Linked DNA regions of Struthio camelus. The protein of the gene in region 1 interacts with the protein of each later gene in a pairwise test. Links are inferred from orthologs where the notes say so. Each region holds a gene or a part of one and is shown in the gene's direction. Other genes may lie near its edges.

Evidence for each region.
Region 2: the proteins of RNF185 (region 1) and UBE2K interact in binary tests that used the Homo sapiens proteins (3 or more experiments, as listed by UniProt). The link is inferred for Struthio camelus from reciprocal best matches to the Homo sapiens genes RNF185 and UBE2K.
Region 3: the proteins of RNF185 (region 1) and YIPF2 interact in binary tests that used the Homo sapiens proteins (3 or more experiments, as listed by UniProt). The two-hybrid records come from large-scale screens. The link is inferred for Struthio camelus from reciprocal best matches to the Homo sapiens genes RNF185 and YIPF2.

Annotation. Positions count from the first base shown.
Region 1 is NC_090958.1:8,167,254-8,174,828, forward strand, and holds the start of RNF185 (E3 ubiquitin-protein ligase RNF185), read left to right. Parts: upstream 1-4,546; 5' UTR 4,547-4,696; intron 4,697-6,279; exon of another isoform or gene 6,280-6,392; intron 6,393-7,575. Other genes in the region: C17H12orf43 (protein CUSTOS), read right to left, coding at 220-310, 652-725, 1,374-1,472, 2,379-2,424, 2,735-2,900. UniProt on the Homo sapiens protein: E3 ubiquitin-protein ligase that regulates selective mitochondrial autophagy by mediating 'Lys-63'-linked polyubiquitination of BNIP1.
Region 2 is NC_090945.1:61,646,602-61,654,046, reverse strand, and holds the start of UBE2K (ubiquitin-conjugating enzyme E2 K), read left to right. Parts: upstream 1-4,394; 5' UTR 4,395-4,723; coding exon 4,724-4,786; intron 4,787-5,389; exon of another isoform or gene 5,390-5,506; intron 5,507-7,445. UniProt on the Homo sapiens protein: Accepts ubiquitin from the E1 complex and catalyzes its covalent attachment to other proteins. In vitro, in the presence or in the absence of BRCA1-BARD1 E3 ubiquitin-protein ligase complex, catalyzes the synthesis of 'Lys-48'-linked polyubiquitin chains.
Region 3 is NC_090972.1:4,658,839-4,666,134, forward strand, and holds the start of YIPF2 (protein YIPF2), read left to right. Parts: upstream 1-4,232; 5' UTR 4,233-4,319; intron 4,320-5,666; 5' UTR 5,667-5,680; coding exon 5,681-5,711; intron 5,712-5,820; coding exon 5,821-5,933; intron 5,934-6,021; coding exon 6,022-6,102; intron 6,103-6,179; coding exon 6,180-6,267; intron 6,268-6,357; coding exon 6,358-6,474; intron 6,475-6,566; coding exon 6,567-6,733; intron 6,734-6,803; coding exon 6,804-6,986; intron 6,987-7,076; coding exon 7,077-7,201; intron 7,202-7,296. Other genes in the region: TIMM29 (mitochondrial import inner membrane translocase subunit Tim29), read right to left, coding at 2,568-3,202, 3,985-4,087.

The DNA of each region.
Region 1 (7,575 bases):
CATTCTTTACACATACTAGGAAGGGTAAGATCATTTCTCAGAAATGTTTCTAGTTCCCCAGCATTTAAAAAAAAATCTGCTAAAGTTCAACATAAGAGTCATAAAAACATGCTTCTCAAGTTCTTCAGCTTTCTATTCCCATGGGAGTGTCCCAGCTGCCTCTGAAACCGGAGGTAGAATAGTAGCACTTCAGGAGCAAAGCAGCTGACAGGACCTCACCTGGAGCTAGACGGTTGTCTCCTCCTTGCTGGAGGAGAAGGTTCCGATTTCCCAGAATCTCCTGGGATGGAGGAGGAGAAGAGGCGAAAGCCTAAAATATGCAAAAGGCATAAAGGGAATTTTAGCCAAGCTATAATACAGAGGTGAAAGCAATCAATAGCAGTCTCTCTAGGAGGCCTCACTGCTGTTAATCTTCCTATTGCTAAAGTGCTAGACAGCAATTATTTGGGCCAAAAAATCTGAGAGGAACCAGATAAGGCACAGAGATCATAACGTCAACATGCCAGTCCTTAGTGATATCAACACAAATTCTTCCACTGCAAGCGCTCTGCAATTAGTTGTGTGTATAACTGGCACTGGAGAGCATCCATGCCACTTATTATTAATTAACAATGTCCGAAGAGAGCCACAATGGCTGTGACTAGAACTCACCATCATCTCCAGAGTCAGACTCTTGCACAGAAGTTTGTGAAGGTCCTGATGAATCCTTCAAGACAGTGATAAAACTAAGCAGAAAACCACAGTCAGATAGGTTTGTGCAGCCAAACTGAGATAAAGTTGGATACTTCTAGGAAACAAGACTGTAGGGAGATGTTACATAGTTTCTTTCTTTTTCCTAGTGAAGTGGTTTCATTTTGCCCTTTCAGAGCAGACCATGCCTTCACCTCTTACCATCACATGCCATAAGCATGACTTGCAAGCAACATTTCAAAAAGCCCACTCAGAACACCAGGAGTTCTAGTTCTTAGAGCCATGTGTACGCAATAAAGACAGCGGCACCCACAGTCAGAGGCAGCTTGTGAACACAGCGTGCTGCCAGCACAACTCTGAACATTTTAGATTGTAAGAATAAATGAAAGAGTCGCATGCCAGCCTTTAAGTGGCTCCCTGTTACATGTTCACCACAGAGGTGAACGGAGACAGGCTGTACCGCACAGGAGGCCTGTACAAGAGGAGCACAGCACATGGGCCAGGTCAGCTCACAGAAGAGTGGAAGCTTGCAGTAGATACAGGAACGAAGGGGACAAGCAAATAAACAATTTGTCCTTCATATCCTCATTGCTCTCAAATCTTTAATTTCCCATTTTTAGAACGCAAAAACATCAGTGCTACTTTACCCCCAGAATAAACCTTTTAATATCACATGCCAATACCCGTCTAGCATTGCTCCCAGTTTCTTTGCGACATGTGCTCTGAATTCTGGTGTGGTCTGTAGCTCATTTCCATCCTCATCATGACCATTCACCTTGCGCCTGTTTAAAATAAGAACAATGATGATCTCTTTCAAGGCCAATAAGATCTGCTGCTCTCATCCACACAGGAGACAAGCAACTGAAAAGCCTCCTAGCCTCTAGTAACCTATTCCTACTTAATTGATAGGGAAGACTGCTAAAATGCTGCAAAATAGCTCAGCAGCATCACTTCAGCATCCAAGAGAGAGACGAAAGCTATTTAGGCATCTCCAGGACAGTTAATAATTGGGTGATTTTCACACTGAAAGAGACAACAAGAGCAAACATATGATGTCAGGACATCCCTTTGCTTGCAGGTGGTTCCTGAAGAAAACAACTTTGAGGTACACTGCATAGATGCCACAGGTCTTGCAACATCTGTCCTGGGAGAGAGGATTTTAAGTTGCCAGGCAGAAGGTCTTAGACACAGAATCTACAGGAACATTGTAAACCTGTGTAGGACAACATCACCTTCATGGCAAGTATTTAATTCAGGTGTTGTTTTCCTAGTTGATAAAAGTATCTGGCTTTGCAACCGTAACCTTTTTTTGAAATGGTCTTTCTATGTATAATGCTTTCTTTCTAAGAGGAAAAGAAACTTCATTACATATAATTGTACTAACACCTACACAGGGCCCTTACAAAGGTGGTAGGTGTCTGACACTCTGAACTAAGGCTGTGCGTGAAAGTGCTAATAGCTTTCTACTTCTACACGGACCTGCCGCTAGAGGGATGAGAAACGTACTTAAAGAAATGTTAGCTTTTGGGAGGGTTTAAGCACCGTTGCAGGTCACTGTTGGCCCAGTTTCTGAGAGAGAACAATGCCTTTCGGTAGGGAGCATCCCAAGGCACTAACGGTAGGTAACACAGACACATTACTGCGTTAAATTTTTCTTCACTAGAACAGAATTTTGAAACCAAAGATACCTTAGACTAGGCTGAGCTGTCGGCAAACGAGCCTGTCTAAAACCACCTGCCAAAGAAAGAAAGCAAAAGCAAGTTAGAAAAACCGGTGCCCACAACATCGTTAATCCTGCTCCCGCAGATGTGGTGCTACGCTACAAAGCTTCAGGGGGAAACAGCTCGGGGCGGGGGGAAGGAGGAACTCCCCAGGGGCCCGGCGGTACCCGGGGGCCGCCCCCCGCCCCGGCGGCGCTCCCGAAGCGGCCCGACCCGGCCCGGCGCAGCCCCCCGCGCCGCGGGGACCCGGGGCTGGAGACGCTGCGCGGGGGCCGCGGCCCAAACCCGCCGGAGGACAGAGCCCGGCTGCCGCCGCCCCTCACCGCCAGGCGGCCCCGCCCGCGCCGCCGCCTGCCCGGCGCAGTCCCAGGCGGCCTCCTGGAACCGCTCCGCCGCCGCCGCCGCCGCATCCCTGCCGCTGCCGCCGCTGCTGTCCGAGTCCGAGCCCGAGCCCGCGTCTAGGCGCGAACCGCCCCTGCGCGCCGCCATCTTGAAGCCGCGCCGGCCGCGAGGCACGCTGGGGCTGCGGTCTGGCCGCAAGGCACGCTGGGGGGTGTAGTCGTGCCGCGAGGCACGCTGGGGACTGTAGTCGTGCCGGGCGGGAGCGGCGGGCGCGGAAGGCGGCCTGGGGGAAGGTGCGCTCGGCGGCCTGAGGCCGCCTGCCCGGGCTGTCCGCGGAGCTCTCCTCCGGACTCGCAGCACCCTCCCCGGCCCTTTCCTTCCAAGGCCTGGGGATTTCCGTACAGTATTTTAGCTCCGTTATTTACCTTCACAGATGACAAACACCAGACGCTTCAAAGGATGTTTTACTCAAGCGGGCAGGCAAACCTCAGCGTGCTCACGGGCCTTTGACGTGCGGCAGTTTTGAGAGATACAGTGCGGGGGGGGGGAGGAAAAACAAAAGAAAGAAGACGGCCTGTCACCTGCCAGAAATTGCTCTATGATTTCCCACCTTTCTGCTGTGGTGTTGGAAACCGAGGAGCAAAGTGAACAGACGGTCTTCGAAACGGCCCTTTTTGTCAAATGAGGGCAAAAAGCCACTAACAGACAGCAACTCTTTAGCACGGAAATGTCAAGGAAGGGTTTTCTCAAATGTGATTTGACACTGAATGAGAGTAACAGTGGGCTGAGAATACAGCAGGATAAAACAAAGAATGGAGGGCTTGGATTCCTGATGTATGTACGACCCCTTCGTAAGTAGAATTTTAGGAAGCACTTTGGGCGTACTGGAAATGCCAACATTATATTTGTCAGTTTTGTCAGTCAGCCCTGAAGAAGAGAGGAAATCCACGTGCACTAGTACGCCAACGGGAATGAACTGGCGACCGCGGTACAACAAGCGTTCTCTAACTCTAGCAGCTACCAGCCACACTGAAGAATGATATACATGACACCATTAGAAAAAAGAAATTCACACATATAGATATGTCCCCGTTACACATGTGATATACAGCTCTTTGAAAGCTAGTAATTTATGGGCTTCAAAAAAGCAAGCGTTCCCTTGCATCCTTTATTATTGCCATTCAATTCAATTAGGCTTTAGCAGTGGGAGAAAATCTGAGTGTGCCATCCATATTCTCCATCTGACCTACTATTTTAAACAAATCTGTCCTCTCCAATGAACCTTGTCTGTAAGCAAGATTAAAATTTTCATCATCTTCTTGTACGTAATCCTTTCCATTCATCCACCATTCATCTTATTCACTGCCTTCCTCTGGATCCCTTCTACTTTAAAAAGGAAGCACTCACTACAAGTGGAACGGGGACACTGTAAATACGTCCCTGCAGAAACGCATAATAAAATCATTCCATTCTTCAGAGACCTAAAACGTAAATAAAACGCTGGATACATCCCCTGGCTGTGCCGCCTGTGGCAGCAACTGCTCCTCGGATTGCTTCAGCTACCCTACGAGGCCCAAACGGCAAGGGCTGACCTTACACCTGCTCCCCTGAGGACAACACTGAAGCACCGCTTCGCCGCCGCGGGCGGGAGGGACCGTGGCTGCGCCCCGCCGCCAGGCTGCCTCCGGGGCAGGCCGCGGCCCGCCTCGGCCCGGCTCCTGCCAGGGGAGAGGGGCGCGCCCGCCGCCCGCCGCCCGCCGCCTCCGCCGGAGGCGCCCCCGCAGCAGGCCAGCCCTCGCCGACGGAGGGGGGCGGCCGGCCGGTCCCTTCCCGTCCCGTCCCTTCCCGTCAGGGCCCGGCTTCCGGGGCAGCAGGTGACGGCGGCGGCGGCGGCGGGCGGCGCGGCTCCGTGGCTCGGCTCCGTGGCTCGGCGGGACCCGCCGGTGAGACGCGCCGAGACGCGGCCGGCTGGCGGCGGAGGGGCCGGGGGGGCCGGGGCCTGGCGGCGGCGGCGGCGGGGCGGGCCCGGGCCGCGGTTACAGGCCGCGGTCAGCGAGGCGGGCGGCGGCGGCGGGCCGGGCCGGGCCGGGCCGGGCGGGGGTTCCCGGGGCGGTTTTCCTTTCCCTCCCCGGTGCCGGGGAGCGAGGCGGCGGCCGGGCGCGGCGGGCTGCTGGCCGCTGGCTCTGCTTGCGGCACGCCGGGCTCCTCTTGTGCACGTTTCGGTGCCAGCCCGGTTAGCCCGCTTTAGGGGCCTTTGATTCTAACAAATATTTTACATAACGCCCCGGACCAGGAAAACGTTCAGGTGATACCACCCAGCTGGTTATAGCAGATTTCTTTTTTTCCTTTGGACTTCCTGAGGCAGGAGGATAACATCTCTTCTTCGAGTCTATGATACAGGTTTTATGGAATCGTTTAAAGAAAAAGAACGATCTGAATCCCGTGCTTTTTTGAGAGCTTGTAAGCGTGTCGGGAGGCATGTCGAGTCCCCCGGGCAGCCTCTCCGCGCGCCTCGCGTCCTGGAAGCGGTGCCCGCGGTGCAGGCGCGCTGCAGAATCCCGGTTAACGAAACGGGGCCGCGCGACGGCTCGTCGCTCCGTGAGCAAAACAGATGCGTTCGCCAGATCAAGCCGGTGGGCAGGCTTGTGGTTGGGTCCGCTTTCTGTAATACTAAGAAGCAGGTGCATGATGGCATGGAGTTTCTGGGAAGTGGAAAGGTGTGCTCGCAGAAAAGGGTTTGGAGGAGTTAACATGTAACGTGTTTGGGAGGCTGAATGGAATAAAAAGGTGGTGAGATAAATGCGTGTTTAATAATTAACTGTAGGACTTCAGTCATGTATTTACTATGAGTATCTATCTTAAAATGACTATCAAGAAGTAAATGTTCTTCTAGGCACTGTCAATGATTATCTTAATTGAAGTCCAGACAACTCGAATACTTTTAAGTATCAGATTTTTCTTAGACTTATGATTAGGTACGTTTATATAAAATCTTGGTAATATTCTTAGAATTTGATAAAACTTCTAACATTAATACTTTCTCTTTTTTTAATTTGTCATATCTGCATCCGAAAATCACAGTCACAGTAATTATAAGAAAAGTAGCCTAACAAATCTTCCTTCGCACTTAAACAGAAAGAAGTTCAGAAACTAAATGAGAACTTGTATCACAAACTAGACCTAGATTGTTTCAATTTGCGTAATCTCAGATAAGATACGTCTCATTAACAAAAGAAATATGGGAGTGTGTCTTTCTAGTAGAATTTCTAATCCAACAGTGCTGTTCTTTTTATTTCATTGTTATATATTAGACATTGCAAAAATAAATAAAAGGTATGTTTTATGAATAAACAAGCCAGAGTTCTGTAGCCTTGCTGAGATTTTTTTCTTCATGCTCATGAAGGAACATTACAAAGTAAATTTTTCAAACATTCTAATGTTACAGTGCTATGAGCATATATTCCACAATTGTTTCTCACAGAGTGACATCAGCTTTTAATTTATATTCTCTCTCTCTCTCTCTCAGGTTGAATTACTGTTCACCTGCTGTGTTTCCAATGGAATTTTTTGCATGGTTTAACTTATGGTGGAAGCTGTCCCAGTCTGTCCTGAAAAGTTTCTGTTGTTTTTTAGAGGCAGGTCAGTGTACTTCGGCAAATGTAGTAATTTTTCTTGCTAAGTTAAGAAACATCATCTTTTACAGGATCCATTGGGCTCACATATTTCTCTTGTGCAGTTTCTCATACTAGCTCTATGGTTTTTTTTTTCTTTTTTTAAATTTTAAAAATATTTACTCAAATTTATTTCTCACTGCTTGTTCGTGAGACTTGTATTAATACAGTCCTTACTGATTTCCTCCACTTCTTTCATGGACCACCTGCGCTTGCAGCTGTCCCGCAGCGCTCAGGTCCCAGTGTGCCGTTTACTTCTCAGGGGTCCAAGTTTGCCAGCTCTATCAGCCATACTTTTTCTTTGGACAGCACAGTGGGATGCACGCTGGATCCCTAGACGTACATCTTCTCTGCCATGCCTTCTTCACCCTCCATCCCTTCCAGCACGCTTTATTTAGGCAGACTACTTCATTTGTTGCCAATCTTGATTCTCTGGATGCAGTAGTTGTCAGCGATGTAGTCATTTTTCAGAGCAATCTGTTGGGATATCACAGGAGGTGATGACTTAAATGAAACAAACAGCAGATATAGATGGCTCTTAAGTACAAAGATATTATTTTCCCATACATGTCTAGAGAACAAAGAAGGGCAGGAAAATCTTTGCATGCTTGCCATTAGATCTCAACTGATTTTTATATCCTTTCACTTGTTTTGTTTGCCACTCATCATGCCTCTGAGGTTGGATTTAAGAGCTGATCTGAAGGACGAGGGTTTAGCAAACTTGGACTGGCATCTGTCCAGCCAGTCCTCTCTACGTTCTATTTACTTAACCCCAAAAGTCGTGGTGTGTCCCAGGGCACTTGCAATCTTCCTTTTTTCTGATTTCTAGATCAAACAGAAACTGGGCTCCGTTTGGCCTGGTTTGCTGTTTTTTTAAGTTTTGTCTCTGAGTTTAAAGTAGTTCAGGTGACATTTCTACAGTTTTGAACTTGTTCTACACTTGGACAAATTGAATTTGTGGTTGAACTGCTACTTTAGGATTCACAGGCTAAGCTCATGAGTGATGCAGCGTACAATTATCAAATGCACCTTTTAGTCATCAGACGCTGTTTCATGCTTGCTTCATCGTATATGCAGCGTGCTTTGCAGATGAACACACCCCTACAGGGCCTGCTATAGTCCTAGTTGTATTAAACAGTATTCCACAGACA
Region 2 (7,445 bases), on another chromosome or scaffold:
ACTAAGTCAGGCGAATTGCAACATACGAATTCAAGCCGAATGACATCAGATGAATCTGATGTTTAGTGAGTACACCAGCTGTATTCCGCGGCACATATATTTATATATCCAAGCTGCTAACGACATGAAAAATACAGCTTGGAAAGCGCTTGAACAAATACCGCCGCTTTCTATCAGGAACACAGAACAATTTCTGTTCTCCTGTTTCAAGCGTTTCTGATGGCAGAACTCCTACAAGCTCCTCCTGAACAAGAAAGACTGGACAACACAGTAGCACTGCCGTGAGCTCTTTGTAAGGCAAAAGAGCTTCCCAGCAGCAGGATCTATTTTCACAGGAGCAAGCAAATCTGCCCTATTGCATCCAGGAGAGGGCACTGTTACACCTGTCCACAAAACCGGACGTGGACACGTATAGGAGGAACAGGAAAGTTCAGAACAACTTAAAACTCGGTCAACTTGCACAACCAGTTAGTTATTTTTGTGATAAAGCTAATCTTCGGAATGAGTTGAGTCATCCAGATGCGCTGCCACACAGAAACACAACATGACAGACAATAATCATGCAGGCTAAATCTATTTTCACAGTCTCCAAAATGTGCGAAGTGATATGTATATAAAGACAATTTCTGGCACACAGACCTCTCTGTTAAAAATTTGGGATGACAACAAGAGAGATGTAGTGTGTAAGGTAGGTGGGAAAAAAGGGTTAAATTTAAGAACATCTTAGTTTTTTGAATATTTCGGGCTTCTCCTTTGTCACTTTTTTTTTTTAATAAAGCATGTTATAAATGAGCATATTAACATTTAAATGAAAAGTGAATACCATCTACTACTAATACTGCCTGTAAGGTTAATCCTTCTATGGATGGCTCATGAAGATAAAAAACCAATAACAAGAAATATGTAACAGATTCAACCTTTGCTTCTGAAGTGTTTGAAATCACCATACAAATCTCCTGAGACAGCTCTGCTGTCCTAGAAGAAGTCCTCCAGCAACAACGAGAGAAGATCAAACCTGACATTTCTGATTTTTCTAAACTAAAGAGGCCAAGATGAGGGGAAGAAATAGTCTTGTTATGCAAGACACAAAGAAGATACAGCAAAAGAAGGAACAGAACGTTGCATGCTGGAAAGTTACAGTTTCAGAAACGGCACTTTCTTCTTCTGATCAGAGGGAACAAAATAATTCCAAATTCTGAGTAATTCTAACAGAAAAATATCCTACTGATATAAAGAGAATAAAAATAGAAAAATGTGAAAATGATAAAGACATCTCTAAGAATAACCATTTGAAGAACAGAAATTTAATCTTACCTGGTGCTGTCACAAATATTTTGAAGCCCCCCCAGGCAGTGCGCTAGGGTTGGGGGGCGCCCATACTCTCAGTCAGAAGAACCATAAACACAGTGACTTTATTGTATACGCAGCAAGTGAGTCCAACATACCCATGCAATTTGTCCACGTACAATAGCCACTTTCCCATGAAAATGAGGGGGAAAACTATTTCCTACGTACAGGTTGTAGGGCTGAACCATCTAATACAGGAAACAAAACATTGTTTAGGATGTTTGGTTATACCAGCAGAGGTGATGAATATTGTCAGTCCTTTCGTACTGAGGGCCTCAGGTGATGCCTTAAGATCACCGATCTTAGTTTATAGACAACTGACTCTAAACATTCCTCCTGAAATAACTTTATGGAGTCAGAACCTCCATTAATTCACCAACTTTCCTGCACCCCGTTCTAGAAATATTTCAAAGCAATATAGCAAACATACTGAATAAAGTATGGATACCTGGAATTGTGCCTCCCAGTCTATTAGTTATGATCAACACCAACATGCAAAAGTATAGACCGATTTGTGGCCAGTTTGTGAAAGCTGTTATTGAAGGAACTGTTTGCTATGAACCTAAATCGATGATGGGATTAATAGAAGAACTATCTCTTGAAATAAGACATAGTACAGGATTTCATAATACAAAAAATGAGCTATGTTCAAAGGACTAACTTCTGTTTCATATTTTGCATATGGATTTCTCTAAGGGTGGAAGACTAATGAGAACTTAATTCAGAGGTTATACACAGAACAGTATTATCAGCACACTATACAGTATATTATGAAGTCAGACATGCGAAGTCATTGAAATCACAAGAAGAGGCTGAGTATGTTCTCATTTTACTTCTCAGCAGTTTTCTTTCTAAGCATTTTTCTTATCCTACCAAAAAAAATTATTTGGAAACTGCTAGTCTATGGTCCTGTTCTGGCTTAAAATAAGGTAGAGTTTTCTGTAATATAGTAAACTATAAAATATTATAAAAGCTATAATATGACAGCCCCAGCATACTCATTACATCAGGTACTGATTACATGCAGTACTCTAATTGTGGTAGGACTTACCACCACTTCTTTCTACTCTCCAAAAAGCCTTCCTACATTCTCCTTATTTTACCAGAGAGAAAATGAACAGAAAAAGGACAACTAAAACGGAGGGCCAGTGAAGCATATGATGAATATGAAACAATCGTGAAATAAGTGAAAGATGCGTATATAAGGATAAAGGAAATGAGAAGAACATAGTAAGGAAAACAGATACAGGCACTCACATTAATTTGATTTGCTTTTTGCAGTAACAGACTCTGACATCTGTAATCCAAATGAGCACATGGAAATGAACCCAGATACAAACCAGGCAAAATCACTGCCCTTTACTTTACTGGGGCTATTACTGGATGTCTACTACCTATAACATACAAGCACGCTCACAGGAACACAAAGAATGCTGACACTTGATAAAGGTCATGTTTTCGACTCCATTCAGAGCAAGTTCTGCATATTTAGAAGCTCAGCTTCTTACTACCGTGGGCTGTCTGAAAAGATATAAGGCATTTAACTCAGGGATTTTATGTACTGCATTTATAATTTTTGCCTATAGTATGCAACGGGAGCTGAGCATACCATAAACCTAACTTTCAGTTATGAGCTCTCCGAGTCAGATAAGAATTATTATGGCAGATAAGAATTATTACCCTTATGTTACAGGTGGGAACCTAAGGCATAGCGAAGCTATGGCCTACCTCCTCAAAGGAACTTAGGCACGTCAGTGGGACTTAGCTGTCTAAATTATTTTGAAGCTGAAGGCCCAAGATTACACTGGAAGTCATTAAAAAGAAATCAGACTTAATGCAAAATGGTTCTTTTCAGAAAGGTAATAAAAACTGGAAAAACGTTGCGTCAAATGCATATTGTGTCAAAAACAAGCTTTGATACAAAGAAAGAGCTGACTCTATGAGCCAGATGCACATGATACAACACTGTTCCAGGAGAATGGACTTTTCCCAGTCAAATCACAGGGGAATAGTAAATACACAGAGAAAAAATATATATGCATCTGTAAACAGCTGCCAGATTTTTTTTTTAATCAATTGGGCCTATACTTTCTTTAATGTTTATATAACAGTGAAAATGTTGTGTGCATCACTGGAGATAAATGAAGTGTTTGCAGAGGACAGCCACAGCACGAGCAGACAAGTCCCAACCATAAGCCACTACAGTCAGGTTCCCAAGAATCAGAAATGCTCCCTGTTGGGATAAGCGTTTATGCCGTACACAGCCCTACACTGTACTATTAGGGGAGGCCCTGTAAAGCGTTTCTGTAGACCTTGAAGCCTGGAAAGCCTCTAGTTTCCCAAACGAACAACAGTCGTAAACGCAACCTCATACTCCCTTCTGAAAATCTGTCTGCGCTCTCCCATAACATACCACATTTTGCCCTCCTCGGGCAAGCGGGGATGGTTACGGGCACCTATTTCTGTCTTCTGTTATCTGTGCCTTGCAGTGCTTGCTTCTGCAATAAAGCGCAGCAGCCCGTTAGGCGGCCCTGAGCCGCCGCCTCCTCCCCGCCTCCCGACGCCTTGCAGCAGGAGCGGGGCGAGCGGCCTCCCCGCCGCCCGGCCTGGCCCCCTCCGTCCCCGCTGAGGGGCAGCAGCCTCTCGAGGGCGGGATCGCAGCCAGGGGAGACGCAGAGTACTGCCGTTTAACCCCCCCCCAAAAAGGGGGGGAGAGGGAGGGGGGTGAACGGAGTCCCTCGGCTGAGGAAAGCCCCCCCCCCGGCTAGCTCTGCCCAGGCGCTGCGGGAGAGGACGCGTGAGCAGCTCGCAGAGGCCGGCGCTTCCTGCGCGGGGGGCGGCGGCGGGGCCGTGTCACCGCACCGCCGCCACCCAGCTCCGCCGCGGCGCGGGGCCCGCCGGCGGGGGGGCGGCGCAAGGGCTCTGCCGGCCCAGCGCTGCTCCCGCGTTAGCCGCCGCCGCAGGAAACGAGCCCTGCCCGGGTCAGGACGAGCGGCCGGCACCTCCCTGGGGCCGGCGGCGGACGGAGGCGGCAGCCGCCCCGCGGGGACAGCGGGCAGGAAGGGGCTGCGAGGCGGCGGTTGGCGCGGCGCGCACCGTCCTCCCTCGCGCTCTCCCCGGCGGCCGGCGCCCGCCCCCCATCCGCCGCCGGGGAGCCTCGGCGCCCGCACCGCTCCGCTCCGCTCCGCGCACACGGCGGCCCCTCCTGAGCGGCGGCGGCGGCAGCGGCAGAGCCGGGTGCCGCAGCGCGCATGCTCGGCGCGGGCGCCATTTTGGTGGGGCCGGGAGTTATCCAGCGAGAGCGGCGGCGGCGGAGCTCGCTGGGCCCGGCGCGGAGGCAGCGGCGAGTGGGTGCGGGTCGGTGCCCGCTGCGGAGATGGCTAACATCGCGGTGCAGAGGATCAAGCGGGAGTTCAAGGAGGTGCTGAAGAGCGAGGAGGTCAGAGCCTCTCCCCCTCCCCTGGCGCCGCCACCCTCCGCCGTGTGTGCGTGCGCGTATGTATGTATGTATGTATGTATGTGTGTGTGTGTGTGTGTGTGTGTGTGTATGGGAGTGCGGGCAGCGGGGGAAGGTGCGGGCTCCCCGCCGGGCTGCGCCGGGACCCCGCTTCCCCCTCGGCCCCACCTCCCCGCGCTGGGGGTGGGCCCGGCCCGCGGCCTCGGGGAGGGGAATGGCGATTCCCGGGGAGACGGGACCCGCCAGCCGCGGCGGGGGGAGGAGGGGGCCGCCGAGCCCCTCCCCCCGCGGGCAGCGGGAGCCGCCGGAGGCCCGAGGGGGAGCGGGGCCCGGCCTGCCAGCGGCAGGAAGCGCGGCGGCGGCGGCGGGGAGCGAGGGCCGGGGGCCGGGCCGGGCAGCCCCCGGCGGCGGCGGCGGCGGCTCCCTCCGCCCTGGGCGGGCTGTGGGCGGCCGAGGCGGCGGAGCCCGCTGCCAGGCCGGGCGCTGCGGGGTGGGGCCTCCCACGCGCGGCGCTCCCGCGACCCTCGCCCGCGCGGGTGCCGCGGCACGCATCGCCGCACGCGGCCCTGGCGGCCCGGAGGCAGCGAGGTGCATCGGTGAGGCCGAGGTGCAGGATGCGTGGTCACACACATCCCCCTTAACTCACCTCTCTGGTCAGCCAGAGACTGCGGAGTGTGTGTTTTATTTTTTAAAAGGTTGCAGGTAAGTCCCTTTTTATCTAGGTTACTTTAATCCAGAACTTCCTTTATCCCAGTGTAGGTTAACTCACCTTAACGTGGATGGTTTTAAAACCATACTCATTTAATTCTTGTTCTCTCGTTTTCTGGCTTTCTAAATAGTGTCTCTCTGAAGCAGCTCATGTTATCGAGAGGTATGTGGTGGTCAACGAGAGGAGCTGACTACTACCTTGGGCAAAATATTAAAAGAAGTTTTGATCTGTTATTGGGAATATGTAGCAGCTTTTGCAGGGTTGCATCAGTACAATTCTTGCTGTGTCTGGATCTGAGTTGGCGAATGACAACCAGATAGGTTTTAATAGTTGTGTCGTCATTGTCGTCCTACTTGGGATGATGTTGCAGGTTAGATGCCTGTGAAATATTAATGTGAACGTGTAACTCTTAAAGCTAGTGTTTTAGAAATCTGGACACATTCGCAGAAGAAAATCAAGAGGACAGTAATTTTTTGAAGATACTAATACCTCACAGAAAAGATGCCATTGCTGTAGTTGATGCGCTTTTAAATTAAGTGTGCTAACAGCATTGTTGCTATGCAGCTTGAACTAGCCTCTATAAAAACGTAAGGGCCTTGTTTTACAGCTACCTTTGGAGCCCAGGCTGTTTTTGCTAAGCTCTTGCACAGTGATTACACAATTAGGTGTAAACTAAGACAAATTTCTAGGTGGCCATCTTTGTGCCAGAATTAGAGTCCAAAACCAGTACTCCATATAACTTTATACTGTGGGAACAACATTTGTATCTGCATTTGAAGGTACTATCTAAAGGGTTCAAGTCCCTTTCACCTTACTTTATGTAGGAAAAAGAGAAACAACCTATGCAATTCTGTGGTGAGATCCGTCCTGAATTTCCTTACAGTAAAGGTTGGGTCCAGAGAGCACATTTTTCTCCTTTCCTGATTGTTTAGTCTACGCATTGGAGGGGATCAGTATAGAGTGTTGGAAATAAATAATATTATAAAATAGTTCTTAAGCTAGACAACATCTTTCAGATATGATAAGGCCACAATTCTTATGAAACTTTAAAATTATGAAATTTTGAAATTAAAGCATTTTTAAGAGTTTCATGTGTCGTCTTTTTCTGCCATTATCAAGCTACATATGAGTAGAATACTGACATAGCACATATTGTAAACAGCATTTTTGTAGATACTACTATCTCCCCTATCTTGAGTACGTGATTTAGGCATTTATCTGTGGTTCTCTATGTTACAAGCAAGTCTGTTGTGGATGTTTGTACTTTCAAAGCCAGTCAAGCTATGGTGTTAGTACCACTGAGCATAAAAACATGTGGAGTGAGATGGTGAATGGAGGGATAACTAAATACTACAAATTGAAGAAGTCTTTTTTCCTACATGTTTTGTGTAATTAAGCAGTTCTTGACCCTTGTTCTTAAAAATTTTCTGTGTCATGAATAAGTGATGCTAAATTTGTTATATAGAAATTTCAGTCCGTTTCTGAAGGCAAAGTAGCTCACGTTACATGCACTTAGATTATTCTTATTTGAGGCTTTGAACTACAGCTGAACATAAAGAGCAGTGCCAGTTTGTTTCTCTGCAGATCCAATATGGGCAGAAATAGCATTTTTTGGTGCTTGAAAGGAACACATACAGACTTTGCTCTGTGTGTTTTTCCCATATTCATCTGTGGACTGAAACAGGGTGATTTTTGAAAAAGCATTTAAAATCCTTTCAGACTTGAGAAATGGAAGCATTTTTACTCTACTGGCTTTATTATTTCCAGTTTTACTATAAGCTCTCTCACACCTTAACTTAAGGACTCAGCTATTGAGCATTCAATAAAGGTCCTTGTAACTTTGTGTCTCTTAAATATTTGAACTATAAATAGGTGAGACCAGCAGCAATTTCTTTGTCAGGAATGCTCTCTGGACTAGGATTTAAATAAAAC
Region 3 (7,296 bases), on another chromosome or scaffold:
GAGGTACAACGGGCCAGGACAGGGCCCTTCCCAAAAAGGGGGCTCGTGTTTTGGAGCTAGCTCCGAACTTCCACGTTTTACCTGCACAAATCGCCACGGAACGCCCCCTCCGGGCCGCAAACTCCCGAGCGAGCCAAACGCCTTGCGATCCCTTCGCTTCGCCCCCCAAAATTAGCTTTCGCTGCAGCAAGGGCGACCGCTGATTTCTGCTGTCTCGCAGCAAAAATCGCTCTCCTTCCTTCACCGAGAGGGCTGAAGCCCTTGCTCGAGATGTTAAAAAAAAACAAAACGGGGGGGGGGGAGGTCTCAAATCCTACTCTTAATTAAAAGGAGCATAAACGAAGCGGAGCCGCTGACGGCGACGTGGGAGATGTGCGTTTTTCCCTGCCCTCCTGAAGCCACAGAGCTGCCGTCGGCGCAGGACCGATGCGGCGCCGCCGCCAGCCCGACCCCTTCAGCGCCCGTCGGTTTTCTTCCTTTTCCTCCTCCTCCCCGGCCCTGGCGGCCGGCCGACCGCTACGGGATCGGGGGCGACAGCCCGGCTCCCTGAGGAGGGAGGGATTTCGAAGCGAAACCCCGCCAAGCGGACGATCGCCCCGCGGGGAAACAAGCTCGCGGCTAAGAACGGCGCCGCGCAGAAGCGGGGAGACTCAAAACCCACTGCGCTTGCACGACGGGAAAAAGCTGCCAACGCTCGGTATTTTCCGTGAGGATTTCCCAGCCGGTTTTGCCGTCGTTCCGGCGAGGGAAAGCGTAAAACAAAGGGGGAAAAAAATATATATAAAACCGTGTTAAAACACCTGCTCGTGAGCCTGCGTTGCAGGAGAGCCGCCAGCCCGGCACGGCCGCCCCGTCTGCGCCTGGGACGCCTCGGTCCCGGGAGAGAGCGGGAGGCGTCGGGGCCGACGACGTCCCAACGAGCTTTCTGCTCGTTAAGACCAAACCCGTTGCCGAGCCCCGGGCGCCCGACGGAGAGGCCAAAGTCTGCGGAAAAGCGCCTGCGAACGTACGACAAGAAATCGAGCGCGGCCGAGCGCCCGGCGTGCCGTTCCCCAAACAAATCGCGCCGAATCGGGGCTGGGTTGTGGCTGTTTTAAGACGCGCTTGCCAAAATACGGATTTTTTCCTTTTTTCTTTTTGGAAGGGAGTTGCTGGACGCGGACGGGAGCCGTCGGCATCATGCGACGCGCGGGACCGAGCCGGTCCCGACCCGGAGCTGGCTTTAAGGGGAGACGGGCTGGATCGCGGGGAGGACGCCGGCCGGCCGAGCTTCGGAAAAGGAAACGCACCCCTTAGGGCGAAGCGCGCGGGAAAAGCCGAAATCGGGGAAGGGGAGCGACGGAGCCGGAGGCCGACGCAAACGGGAAATAACGAAACGCCGAGAAACAATTAAGCCGAGGGGCAAACTGAACGCCCGGCGCCGCACTCCCTCGGCGCGAGCCCCCGCTCCAGCTGTGATTAGCGTTTCCTGGCAAGGCCGTTAATTAAGCCAGGACGCGACTCCGAGGTTGGACCGAGGCCACCGGCCGCTTCCGCGGGGCCGACGCGCCGTCGAATTTCCCGGGGATTCATTTCCCGGGAGCCGCCCCCAAATCCGAGCGCGGGAACGGGCGGCGGGGCCCTTAGAGCGAGACGGCGCCTTGCAAACTCCGCTTCCCCCCCCGAAACGCCCCAATTCCGGGCGTTCCCGACAAATTAATTCCTCCCCGCTCTTCCCCCCCCCCTCCCCGGGATAACGGCAGGCGCGATCGCAGTTAAGAGCGGTGGGCGCCGCCGTCTCGGTGGCAACGTCGGACCCCGTTAAAACCACCTTCGTCTTAACGGGGGCGAGCGCAGCGCCGCGAAGACGGGGAGAAGCGCCGCCGCGAGCGGCGGAGGAGGGAAACCCTCGCTGGGGAACCGCTCCGGCGCGGATTTACCCCGATACTCGGCGGCAGCAAACCCCGATCTAAAACATCCCGGCCGCGGCGGCAAACGCGCAGCCGCGCTCTGTGCTGGATACCGGCCGTGAATAATCCCACGAGGAGTCAACGCGCGAACGACAGATGCCGCAATAAAGGGTTAATCGATAGTTAGGGGGTCGCTGGGGAGCCCGGGGGGGCGTCGGAGAGACGCCGGGCCGCTAGCGAGGCCCCAAACCCAGCCCGGGGCGAACGCCCGCAGCGCGCGGTCGGTGCGAGCGTCGCCCTGCGTTTCCCTAGGGGGGGGAAGAGGGGTTCGGCCGCGTCCCGCAGGGAGGTTTCCTGCGAGCGCGAGCCGCCCGAGACCCTCGCCGGCGGGACCCCGCGCCCCCCTGCCCGCGGCGGGTGGGGGGCAGGCGGCGACGCGGCCGGCCGGGGCCGGGACGCGGAGGTCTCGCAGCTCGGCAGCACCCTCTGCCGCATCCCGCGGGAGCGGCGCAGGGATGGAGGCGGAGGGCGCGGGGCCGAGACGCTTCCCGCCGCCGGGCGCCGCATTCGCCCCGCCAAGCGCCGTCCCCGCCGAGGCGGCACGAAGGAGGCGGCGGCGCGCGTCGAGACATCCGCCGCCTTTATTGAGCGGCGCCGAACGGCCGCTGCGTCGCTCAGTCACCGGCCCGCGGCGCCCGGCGGCGGCGGCTCCTTCTCCGCTCGCTCGATTTGCTCCTCCGTCAGGACGACGGGCTGGTACCGCTCCTCGAAGAGCTTCTCGTTGGCCTCGGAGTGGAGGTGGTGGAAGGAGACGGCGCGGAGGTGCTCGGGCAGGAACCTGAACTCCTCCTCGTTGATGTCGCAGTCCCTCATCTTGGCGCGCAGAACCCACCAGCGTCCCCAGAAGCCCACGTCGAGGACGCGGGCCGGGAGCTCGCGCCAGCGGGGCTGCAGGTAGCGGCACTGCGCCAGGTAGAGGCCGGCCTGGGCGTCGAAAGGCGCCTCGTAGACCAGGGCGAAGAAGACGAGGTTCCGGTAGCGCAGCTGGCCCCGGTCCCGCAGCCGCAGCAGGCGCTGCACGTGCCCCTCGGCGACGCCGCTGCGGATCCACGGCGAGAGGAGCAGCAGGGAGCCGGCGGCCTCCAGCAGAGCCGCCTCGAAGGAGCCGGCGCCGGGGACGGCGGCGCCGCAGGCGGCCGCCCCGGCCAGCAGGGCCAGGCAGCCCGCAGCCCGGCCGGGCCGGCGCCGAGCCCCCCGCGCCGCCTCCCGCGCCGCCTCCGCGTAGTCCTGCAGCAGCGCCCGCCACCAGCGCCCTGCGCCCAGGCGCCGTCAGCGGGGAGGGGGCTGCCCCCCCTGCCCCAGCCTGGGCCCAGGAGTCCGGGGACCACCATAACCCCCTCTTCAATGGGCCCAGGAGTCCGGGCAGCCCCCCCAACCCCCCCTTTAATGGGCCCAGGAGTCCGGGCAGCCCCCCAGCCCCCTCTTCAATGGGCCCAGGAGTCCGGGCAGCCCCCCCAACCCCCCCTTTAATGGGCCCAGGAGTCCGGGCAGCCCCCCAGCCCCCTCTTCAATGGGCCCAGGAGTCCGGGCAGCCCCCCCCAGCCCCCTCTTTAATGGGCCCAGGAGTCCGGGCAGCCCCCCCCCAGCCCCCTCTTCAATGGGCCCAGGAGTCTGGGCAGCCCCCCCCAGCCCCCTCTTCAATGGGCCCAGGAGTCCGGGGACCCCCCCAACCCCCCCCTTCAATGGGCCCAGGAGTCCGGGCAGCCCCCCCCAGCCCCCTCTTCAATGGGCCCAGGAGTCCGGGGACCCCCCCAACCCCCCCCTTCAATGGGCCCAGGAGTCCGGGCAGACCCCCCCCAACCCCCCCCTTCAATGGGCCCAGGAGTCCGGGCAGCCCCCCCCAGCCCCCTCTTCAATGGGCCCAGGAGTCCGGGGACCCCCCCAACCCCCCCCTTCAATGGGCCCAGGAGTCCGGGCAGACCCCCCCCAACCCCCCCCTTCAATGGGCCCAGGAGTCCGGGGACCCCCCCAATCCCCCCCTCCAAAGGTCCCAGGAGTCCGGGGCCCCCTTGGACCCCCCCAGCCCGGCCCTCACCGGCGCGGCTCCCCGCGATGCGCGCCCAGAGCCCGCCGCTCCCCCGGGCCGGGGCCGGGGCCGGGGCCGGGGCCGGGGCCGCCGCCTCCCCCGCCGCCGCCATGGCCGCGAGCGGCGCCGGAAGTGGCTCCGGCCGGGACGGACACGGGGACGGACCGGGCGGAACCATGACGGCGGGGGGGCGGGGCCGGGGGGGCCGGACACGGGGACGGACCGGGCGGAACCATCGCGGCGGGGGGGCGGGGCCGGGGGGGCCGGACACGGGGACGGACCGGGCGGAACCATCGCGGCGGCGGCGGCGGGGGGGGGGAGCCACGTCCGCGGGGCCGGGCCGGGTACCGGGGGGGGGGGGAACCGGGGTGGGGGGGGACCGGGAGGAGCCGGGGGGTCCCGGTCCAGGCCCAGGAGTCCCCGGGGGGGGTTATGGGGGTCCCGGTGCAGCCCCACGGCGGGGCTGGCGGGTCCTGACCCAGGCGGTGCCGGTCCCGGGGGGTCCTGGGAGTCGCGGGATGCTGGAGGGGGGTCCCGGAGGCCCCAGTGCCGGGGGGATCCTGGGGATACCGGGCCCGGGATGCCGGGGGAGCTCCGGGGGGGGGGTCCCGGGGGTCCTGGTGCCGGGGGGGGCTGCGGGGTCCTGGGGGGGTCCCGGGGGTCCTGGTGCCGGGGGGTGCTGGGGGGTCCCTGGAGATACCAAGCCCGAGATGCCGGGAGGGTACCGGGGGGGGGGTCCTGGGGATACTGGGCCCGGGATGCCGGTGGGGGGGCCGGTCCCGGTGCCAGAGGGGGCCCTGGGGATACTGGGCCTGGGATGCTGGGGGGGGTCCGGGGGGGTCCCGGGGGTCCCGGTGCTGGGGGGGCCTGAGGGGTCCTGGGGATACTGGGCCCGGGATGCTGGGGGGTACTAGGGGGGTCCCTGGGGATACCAGGCCCGAGATGCCGGGAGGGTACCGGGGAGGGTCCCGGGGGTCCTGGTGCTGGGGGGTCCTGGGGATACCGGGCCCGGGATGTTGGGGGGGGGTCTCGGGGGTCCCGGTGCCGGGGGGTCCTGGGGATACCGGGCCCGGGATGCCGGGGGAGCTCCGGGGGGGGGTCCCGGGGGTCCTGGTGCCGGGGGGTGCTGGGGGGTCCTGGGGGGGTCCCGGGGGTCCTGGTGCCGGGGGGGGCTGCGGGGTCCTGGGGGAGTCCCGGGGGTCCGGGTGCTGGGGGGTCCCTGGGGATACCAGGCCCGAGATGCCGGGAGGGTACCGGGGGGGGGTCCCGGGGGTCCTGGTGCTGGGGGGTCCTGGGGATACTGGGCCCGGGATGCCGGTGGGGGGGTCCCAGTGCCAGAGGGGGCCCTGGGGATACTGGGCCTGGGATGCTGGGGGGGGTCCGGGGGGGTCCCGGTGCTGGGGGGGCCTGAGGGGTCCTGGGGATACTGGGCCCGGGATGCTGGGGGGTACTGGGGGGGTCCCTGGGGATACCAGGCCCGAGATGCCGGGAGGGTTCCGGGGGGGGTCCCGGGGGTCCTGGTGCTGGGGGGTCCTGGGGATACTGGGCCCGGGATGCCCGGGGGGGGGTCCCGGTGCCAGAGGGGGCCCTGGGGATACTGGGCCTGGGATGCTGGGGGGGGTCCGGGGGGGGGTCCCGGTGCTGGTGGGGGGGGGGGGGCGCCCCAACCGCCTCACGTCTCGCTCCCGCAGCGAGAGACCCCGCCATGGCGGCGTCCGCCGAGCTGCGGTTTCACGGTGAGTCCCGGCGCGACGTCGGGGCAGAGCCGGGGCCCCCCCGCCGCGGCCCCCCCCGCCGCGGCGCCGGGCCCCTCGCGGCCGCCTGACGCCGACCGTCACCGCGCAGAGCTCGAGGAGGCGGCGGAGCCGCCGGCGGGCGAGCGGCCGAGCCACGCGGCCGTGGAGCTGGGGCCCGGCTGCGAGGAGGGCGAGCCGGGGGCCGACGCCGACAGCGCCGAGGTGACGCAGCCGCCGCCGCCGCCGGCACCACGGGGAGCGGAGGCCCCCGGCCGCGGCCCCGCGCTCACGGCCCTTCCTCCGCCCGCAGCTCCTGGGCGGGCAGCAGCAGCCGCGCAGCTTCTGGACCTTCGAGTATTACCAGGCTTTCTTCGACGTCGACACCCACCAGGTAGCGGCGGTCGCGGCGGCCGGACGGCCCGGCTCCTCGGCGCCCGCCGCCTCTGAGACGCCGTCGCCCGCCGGCAGGTGCTGGACAGGATCAAGGGCTCCGTGACGCCGCTGCCGGGGAAGAACTTTGTGCGCCACCGCTTGCGGAACAACCCCGACCTGTACGGTGAGAGGGCAGAGCTGCCGCTGGCCGGGCGCCTGCCGGCGCCCCGGGGCCGGCCCCTCGCCGACCGCCCACCCGCTTTCCCCTCCCCAGGGCCCTTCTGGATCTGCGCCACCCTCGTGTTCGCCCTGGCCATCAGCGGCAACTTGTCCCACCTGCCGGAGAAGCAGGCGTCCCCCTCCTTCCACTACAGCCCCCAGTTCCACAAAGGTGCGAGGCCCCGGGCTGGCGGGGGGACGCGGGGAAGGGGACGGGGCAGCCCGGGCTTTGCCTTCATTGTCCCCGTCCCGTCCCCTCCGCAGTCACCATCGCCGCCACCGTCGTCTACTGCTACGCCTGGCTGGTGCCGCTGGCGCTCTGGGGCTACCTGCGGTGGCGGCGGGGCCCCGGGGCGCGCGGCAGCTCCTACAGCTTCCTGGAGACGGTCTGCGTCTACGGCTACTCGCTCTTCGTCTACATCCCCACAGCGGTGAGTCCCCGGGGCGGCGGCGGTGGGGCCGCGTCCCCCAGCGGAGCTGACGCCGCCGCCGTCCCCGCAGGTGCTGTGGCTGATCCCGGCCGCCTGGCTGCAGTGGCTGCTGCTGGCCGTGGCCGCGCTGCTCTCGGCCTCGGTGCTGGCGCTCACCTTCTGGCCGCTGGTGCGGGCCGAGGGCCGGGCGGCCGCCCTGGCCCTGCTGGCCGCCGTCGTCGCCCTGCACGCCCTGCTCGCCGTCTGCTGCAAGGTACCGCTCGCCGCGGGCCGGGGGGAGCGCCGCTCTGGGGACGCCGGACCCCCCCACTCATTCCCTCCTTTTATTTTTTCTCCCTCCCAGCTTTATTTTTTCCAGCGGCCGCCGGGCGCCGGCCCGGCCCCCTCGCCGCTCCACGCCACGCTGGGGACCGAGCCCCACCACAGCCGCGCGCCCCACCACTTCGCCAACCTCTCCCAGCCGGCGAGGTAAGAGGGGGACCCCGAGCGGGGCAGGCAGCCCCCGGCTCGATGCGGACGGCCCCGGTGGGGGGCCAAACCCTCGCCTGGCCCTCGGCTCTTCC